Linked DNA regions of Macaca mulatta. The protein of the gene in region 1 binds, or shares a complex with, the protein of each later gene. Links are inferred from orthologs where the notes say so. Each region holds a gene or a part of one and is shown on either strand. Other genes may lie near its edges.

The links.
Region 2: the proteins of UBL4A (region 1) and BAG6 are in contact, whole or in part, in a crystal structure (PDB 4X86), measured with the Homo sapiens proteins. The link is inferred for Macaca mulatta from reciprocal best matches to the Homo sapiens genes UBL4A and BAG6. Residues at the interface, in NP_055050.1 of Homo sapiens: Val95, Leu98, Ile99, Val102, Leu103, Arg105, His106, Phe107, Ser108, Asp111, Arg114, Val115, Gln118, Leu119, Asp122, Tyr123, Glu124, Ser126, Leu127, Ser128, Leu130, Ile135, Leu138, Arg141, Phe142; in NP_001092004.1 of Homo sapiens: Gly1052, Pro1053, Leu1055, Leu1057, Ala1060, Val1061, Ala1064, Ala1065, Ala1067, Ala1068, Ala1070, Arg1071, Pro1072, Leu1073, Thr1074, Ser1078, Leu1079, Asp1082, Leu1083, Glu1087, Val1088, Ser1091, Tyr1092, Gln1095, Leu1096, Asp1099, Ile1100, Arg1103, Leu1104.

What each region holds. Positions count from the first base shown.
Region 1 is NC_133426.1:160,668,867-160,673,315, reverse strand, and holds UBL4A (ubiquitin-like protein 4A), read left to right. Parts: upstream 1-1,569; 5' UTR 1,570-1,577; coding exon 1,578-1,625; intron 1,626-1,828; coding exon 1,829-1,934; intron 1,935-2,182; coding exon 2,183-2,391; intron 2,392-2,509; coding exon 2,510-2,620; 3' UTR 2,621-4,422; downstream 4,423-4,449. Other genes in the region: SLC10A3 (P3 protein), read left to right, coding at 1-651. UniProt on the Homo sapiens protein: As part of a cytosolic protein quality control complex, the BAG6/BAT3 complex, maintains misfolded and hydrophobic patches-containing proteins in a soluble state and participates in their proper delivery to the endoplasmic reticulum or alternatively can promote their sorting to the proteasome where they undergo degradation.
Region 2 is NC_133409.1:150,681,236-150,683,837, forward strand, and holds part of BAG6 (large proline-rich protein BAG6), read left to right. Parts: intron 1-105; coding exon 106-397; intron 398-563; coding exon 564-733; intron 734-916; coding exon 917-970; intron 971-1,076; coding exon 1,077-1,179; intron 1,180-1,270; coding exon 1,271-1,395; intron 1,396-1,560; coding exon 1,561-1,707; intron 1,708-2,107; coding exon 2,108-2,167; intron 2,168-2,596; coding exon 2,597-2,602. UniProt on the Homo sapiens protein: ATP-independent molecular chaperone preventing the aggregation of misfolded and hydrophobic patches-containing proteins.

The DNA.
Region 1 (4,449 bases):
TGCTCATCGCCTGGCGGCGGAGGGAGCTACCTCTTCAGCCTCCTTCTTGGAGGGGACGTCACCCTGGCCATCTCCATGACTTTCATCTCTACGGTGGCTGCCACTGGTTTCTTGCCTCTGTCTTCAGCCATCTACAGCCACCTGCTCAGCATCCATGAAACACTCCACGTGCCCATCTCCAAAATCCTGGGCACCCTGCTGTTCATCGCCATCCCCATAGCAGTGGGCGTGCTGATCAAGTCCAAGCTCCCCAAGTTCTCCCAGCTGCTGCTGCAGGTCATCAAGCCCTTCAGCTTTGTGCTCCTCCTGGGCGGCCTTTTCCTGGCCTATCGCATGGGGGTCTTCATCCTGGCAGGCGTCCGGCTACCTATCGTACTGGTGGGTATCACAGTGCCCCTGGTTGGCCTGTTGGTGGGCTACTGCCTGGCCACATGTCTGAAGCTGCCTGTGGCCCAGCGGCGGACGGTCAGCATTGAGGTAGGGGTGCAGAACAGCCTGCTGGCCTTGGCCATGCTGCAGCTATCCCTCCGCCGCCTTCAAGCTGACTATGCCTCCCAGGCCCCCTTCATTGTGGCGCTGAGCGGCACCTCCGAGATGCTGGCCTTGGTCATTGGCCACTGCATCTACAGTAGCCTGTTCCCAGTTTCCTGAGGCCTCTGGGTCAAGCTTTCATCAGCCCCAGCCCCCACACTCCACCAAAGTTCTCATGCACTATGCACTCAGAAAAATCCAGGCTTATTTTTTTTACTGATTTTTTATTCTCCAGCTTTCAGTGCCACAGAGGCCATGCTGAGTTAGGTAGGTGGGCGCTGCCCAGAAAATATATTTCAATAAAACAGAGAAGCAAGCTTGGGTCCCTTCTAATCTTTGCCCTTTGGGGCCTGGGCGTGGGGGTAGAAAGAGTGTGCTGGGTAGGTGTGGACCAGGGTGGAGGGCCAGCTTGGGTGACACGGTGACCCCTGCATAGGCTTTCTCTATCAGCCCTCCCGGGGCGTGTCCCCACTGTAGGAGAGGTGGGAGGATGAGGGCAGAGGCTGGCCCCCCTACCCCCTCTCAAGCTCAGTGGGGTGTTTCGCAGCCAGACCAGAAAGGAGGAGCCAGAAAGCCACCAGGCAGGGAGCCGGCGGGGGGGGCGCCGTCTGTGGGTATGCAGGGCCAGGTTCCGCCAGCAGTAACGGCGCGTGGGGTGGTCCAGGCAGTCTGCGGGGGCGAGCGTACCTTCTGGTCCTTCCTTCTCCATTCCCTAGCTCCCAGATGACGCCAACCTGGCCCGACTAGTTCCTGCTCCCAACTCCCCGGCGCTGTTGCTTTGGGAGGGGTCCGCCGGCCAGGGCGGTCGCTGCGCGTGTGCTAGGCGGGACCCCAGGGGCACTCCTCCCGGGGTGCAACTGGGCCGGGGGGCGGGGCCGGGGCGTGGACGAGGCAGGAGGGCGGGGCCGGGAAGCGCGGGCGGCGGGCGCGCCCCTCTCGCTGCTTCCGGCGGCGGCGGGCGGTTCCAGCGCGCGCCCGGGGCGGCGGCGCGCGGCGGGGGGTGGTTGGGGTGCGCGCCGGCCCGAGTGGACGCCGTCGCGACCGCCATGCAGCTGACGGTGAAGGCGCTGCAGGGCCGGGAGTGCAGCCTGCAGGTAGGGTCCCCGGGCCGGGCGGCCGGGTCCGGCGCGCTCTCTCGCCGGCTCCTGGCAGGGTGACCAGCAGGGCCAAGGGCGGGCACGGGGCGGCCGGGCCGGGGACTGGGAGCCGGGAGAGCTGCCCTCGGGAGCGGACGCGTGGGCTTCGCCGCCTGGGGACCGCGGCCTCAACCCTTGCCTCCCACCCTCCGCGCGGCCAGGTGCCGGAGGACGAGCTGGTGTCCACGCTGAAGCAGCTGGTCTCCGAGAAGCTGAACGTCCCCGTGCGCCAGCAACGGCTGCTTTTCAAGGGCAAGGCCCTGGCAGGTACCCAGGGAGAGGAGACGCCCAGGGAGCCCCGCAGGAAGCGGGACTGGGGTGCGCGGGCCGAGGCCGGCAGCCGTGTAACGGGTTGGGGTGCCGGCGCCAAGCGCCACATGACCCCAAGGGAGGCGGCCGCATGCCTCACTGCCGGATGCCGCAGCGCTCCGCTCCCGCCGCCCGAGGCGGTCTCGCGTCCCGGGCCACCCCCACGGCGGCGGAGGAGGAGGAACCCATCGATCTGTCTTTGGCAGATGGGAAACGACTCTCGGATTATAGCATCGGGCCCAACTCCAAGCTCAACCTAGTGGTCAAACCCCTGCAGAAGGTGCTACTAGAAGAAGGCGAGGCCCAGAGGCTGGCCGACTCCCCACCCCCGCATGTCTGGCAGCTAATCTCCAAAGTCTTGGCCCGCCACTTCAGTGCGGCAGATGCCAGCAGGGTCCTGGAACAGCTACAGAGGGTGAGAAGGGTAACCCTGGGTATCCTCTCCAGGCCCAGTTCCTCCCAGCCCCTACCTCTGTTGCAGTGTATGGCTCCCCACTGGCAGCCCCTGAATCTTCCTGCCCTTCTCTCCCCAGGATTACGAGAGGTCCCTGAGCCGCCTGACGCTGGACGACATCGAACGGTTGGCCAGCCGCTTCCTGCACCCTGAAGTGACTGAGACGATGGAGAAAGGCTTCTCCAAATAGCATTCTCGGAGCATGGGGAGGTGCCCAGTGCCAGGCCACAGCAGCATGTCACACTAAGTGTGTTCACCTGTTGCAGTTGGGCTCATAATAATAGCTGGCATGTACCTGGCTCTGGCCACGTGCTAGGCACTCCTCACAGCTTGACCTGGGTTTGCTTCCACACCCTCAGAAGAGGTGAGCCAGCACAGCAGAGGCACTGGCGGTGAAGTGGCGGAGCCCCAGTCGGAATCCAGCGGCTTCTGAAAGTGCCTTGGTGTGAGAAGGAGGAAGGGGCTGCTTGGAGAGCTGGGCTCTGGCATGTCATGTTTAGCCCACTGAGAATATACCCTCAGGTGACTCCTTCCCAATCCTGAAAGGGAAAGCAGCTGTCACCTGACCTCTGGCGGGTCCAACATAGCCTTCAGCTTACCTCTGCAGGAGGCCAAGTGACAGCCAGCCCTGGAACCACCACACCCCCAGCAGCTGCTGCAGCCAGTGTGCTTTCGACAAATGAAAAAGCAGGTTGGGGCCAGGGAGTCAGCAAGTCACCCCAGCTCTGTGATGTGACTTCGGGGGAGTCTCAGTGCCACTTTGGTCCCCAGCCACGGACTTTATACAGTGAGGGCCACTCCCCGACCTGAGTCAGTGTCCTTCGTCTCACAGTGCCCCCCTCCCTTCTGTTCAGTAAACAAACTGAAGCCAAAAGCGAAGCAGTGGCCAAGTGTGACCCAGAGATGGGGTGTCCTGGCCCTTAGTGACACAGCTCCTCTCTGGGCACCCTGTCTGCTTGTCTCCTCCAGGAAGCGTTAGGGCTGATGGGTGACTCAGCAAGGCAATGTCAGAACTGGGGCTGGGCATAGGCCTTTGTCCTCGTCCCCAGCACTCGCCTCCCTGTGGAAGATGAACACATCAGCCACCTGTGTACAGCCGCTCACTTCGTGTGCTCCTTGTTGCCTGAGAGGAAACCTTGGGGTGCCAGGGTGGGGACAGAAACATGGGCTGGGTTCCGGTTCCTTCTCCACTGTGCCCTGTGCATGGGCACAAGAGGACATCTAGCCACCTGCTCCTTGGAGGCCCCCAGGGGTGGTAGAGGCTAGAAGGAAGCCACAGCAGGAGGACGCCACTCTGGGCCCTCCACCCTTGCCAAGTGAGCCGCTCACAGTGTGGTCGGGGCTGCACGTGCTGGAGGCCCTCCTGCCTGGGCCTGATGGGGCAAATATTGGGTCCCCGGGCTGGAAAGATGGACAGAGGCCCAATGGGTGAAGGCTTTGAAGAGCACACAGAAGCCCCTGGCCCCCCACGAGAGCTGGAGAGCCATGTATATGGCTTCAAAGCCACCTATGGCAGGGACACACTTGTGAGCATGGGTGGCCTGCAGCTCAGGTGATACATTTACCAGTGCTCTTGTTTGCGTGGTGCCAGGAAATTGATTTTGGAAAATGAAATAACATTAAAGGTGAATGTGAGACTTCCACTTTTATCCAAAAGGAGCTATATTAGCTAGGCTGTTTCTGATATCCAATCATTGGTTTAACAATAAAGGCAATTTGTTTAATCAGTAACGGAAATTTCTTGGCTTATGAAAGTGAAAAGCCCAGTGGTATCGGCATTGGCAGCAGGGGAGCAATTCTTCCAGTGTCTTCCTGCCTCCCTCTGCGTTTGTGTCTGCCACATCCCAGGCCACCACCTCCAAGGATGAAAAGGTGGCTGCCTGCAGCTTCCACAGAATCCCTCCCTCACTGCCTCACTGCCAGAGCAGCACCTTCTCTGTAGCACCTCTGCTGTCTCAGATGCCTCCAGCAAATAAACACCCTTGTTGGTCGGAACTGGATTGTGCGTCCAATCATTTT
Region 2 (2,602 bases), on another chromosome or scaffold:
CCATCTTCCCAGACCCATATGTTTGTGCCCTCTTGATGCCGTATTATTTCCCTATCTGCATTCTCACCTCAACCTTCTGTTCTTTGTTCCTTTTCTATTTGCCAGGCAACACAGACAGCCCCTCCACCACCCCCACCTCCTCCACCCCCACAACCTGCCCCAGAGCAGCAGACCATGCCCCCACCAAGCTCCCCTTCTGGTGGGGCAGGGAGTCCTGGAGGCCTGGGCCTTGAGAGCCTATCACCGGAGTTTTTTACCTCAGTGGTGCAGGGTGTGCTGAGCTCCCTGCTGGGCTCCTTGGGGGCTCGGGCTGGCAGCAGTGAAAGTATTGCTGCCTTCATACAACGCCTCAGTGGATCCAGCAACATCTTTGAGCCTGGAGCTGATGGGGCCCTTGGTGAGCAAAAGGGGGTGCTTTGGCTTGCTCCAGGAAGGGGCAGCCAGAGGAAGGTAGATGGCCTTGGTTTAGGGGTGTTGCCAAGGTGGGATGAGGTTGACACCTGGTTGTGGGTGGGCAAGCCAGGTGGTAAAGGCGATTGCTAACATCTGCCCCTGTCCTCCAGGATTCTTTGGGGCCCTGCTCTCTCTTCTGTGCCAGAACTTCTCTATGGTGGACGTAGTGATGCTTCTCCATGGGCATTTTCAGCCACTACAACGGCTGCAACCCCAGCTGCGATCCTTCTTCCACCAACACTACCTGGGTGGTCAGGAGCCCACCCCCAGTAACATCCGGGTAAATGAAGGCCAGGGGCCCCAGAGCTCTCCTCCTTTGCACATTTTATTCCTTGTTTCTGACTGCTTCTCTGCCAGGTAAAGCTCCAATTGCCCCCACACAAGCCCTGGACTTGTTGGGGTCAAGGTGGAAGTCTTGGGAGGACCGAGGCTTTGAACTAAACCTGTTCTGTTTCCTCCGCAGATGGCAACCCACACATTGATCACGGGTCTAGAAGAGTATGTGCGGGAGAGTTTTGTGAGTAACCCTTCTCTATTCCCCTCCTCTCCTGGGTCTGGTCAAGGCAGCTGCCTCCTCCGTTCCCAGTCTTACGATTCCTGTTTTTGTGTATCTTGTCTCTCAGTCCTTGGTGCAGGTTCAGCCAGGTGTGGACATCATCCGGACAAACCTGGAATTTCTCCAAGAGCAGTTTAATAGCATTGCTGCTCATGTGCTGCATTGCACAGGTCAGTGGCTGGCCAGGCTGGGGCAAGTGGGGCCTGTTGGATGTGCAGGGCTGCCATGTGCCAGCATTCCCTCATTGTGTTTTGCCCACAGATAGTGGATTTGGGGCCCGGTTGCTGGAGTTGTGTAACCAAGGCCTGTTTGAATGCCTGGCCCTGAACCTGCATTGCTTGGGGGGACAGCAGATGGAGCTTGCTGCTGTTATCAATGGCCGAATTGTAAGCACCACCTAGCCCCAGGTCCTTAGCCTTTTGTTTCCTGAGGTTTCCATTCGCTGCAGTTTTCATTTTTGTTTTCTAAACTGATGTTCTATACCCCAGATCTAATATATTAGGAAAGGTGGTTGAGGGTTTTATGTTCTAAATCTGCTTTCTGCCCCTCAGCGTCGTATGTCTCGCGGGGTGAATCCCTCCTTGGTGAGCTGGCTGACCACTATGATGGGACTGAGGCTTCAGGTGGTACTGGAGCACATGCCCGTAGGTCCTGATGCCATTCTCAGATACGTTCGCAGGGTTGGTGATCCCCCCCAGGTAAGGGACCTGTTGGGCAGTGGGGTCAGGGTACTTGAGAGAACTGGAGAGATCTGAGAGGAAATATGTTGTTGTTTTTTTTTATTGAGACAGAGTCTAGCTCTGTTGCCCAGGCTGGAGTGCAGTGGCACGATCTCGGCTCACTGCAAGCTCCACCTCCCGGGTTCACGCCATTCTCCTGCCTCAGCCTCCCGAGTAGCTGGGACTACAGGCGTCCACCACCTCGTCCGGTTAATTTTTTTTTTTTTTATTTTTAGTAGAGATGGGGTTTCATCGTGTTAGCCAGGATGGTCTCGATCTCCTGACCTCGTGATCCGCCCGCCTCGGCCTCCCAAAGTGCTGGGATTACAGGCGTGAGCCACCGTGCCCAGCCAAAATATGTTGTTCTTTAATTTCACAGCCTCTTCCTGAGGAGCCAATGGAAGTTCAGGGAGCAGAAAGAGCTTCCCCTGAGCCTCAGGTACTCGGGAGAGGGGGAGGTTGAGGGGCCAGATAATGTGGAGTGGAGGGCTGGGGGAGAAAGGTTTGGAGGTGGCCGGCGCGGTGGCTCAAGCCTGTAATCCCAGCACTTTGGGAGGCCGAGACGGGCAGATCACGAGGTCAGGAGATCAAGACCATCCTGGCGAACACAGTGAAACCCCGTCTCTACTAAAAAAAAGACAAAAAAACTAGCCGGGCGAGGTGGTGGGCACCTGTAATCCCAGCTACTCGGGAGGCTGAGGCAGGAGAATGGCGTAAACCCGGGAGGCGGAGCTTGCAGTGAGCTGAGATTCGGCCACTGCACTCCAGCCTGGGCGACAGAGCGAGACTCTGTCTCAAAAAAAAAAAAAAAAAAGGTTTGGAGGCTAAAAATTCTGAAGCCTGGCTCTTCCCACCATCTGACACCCAGCGGGAG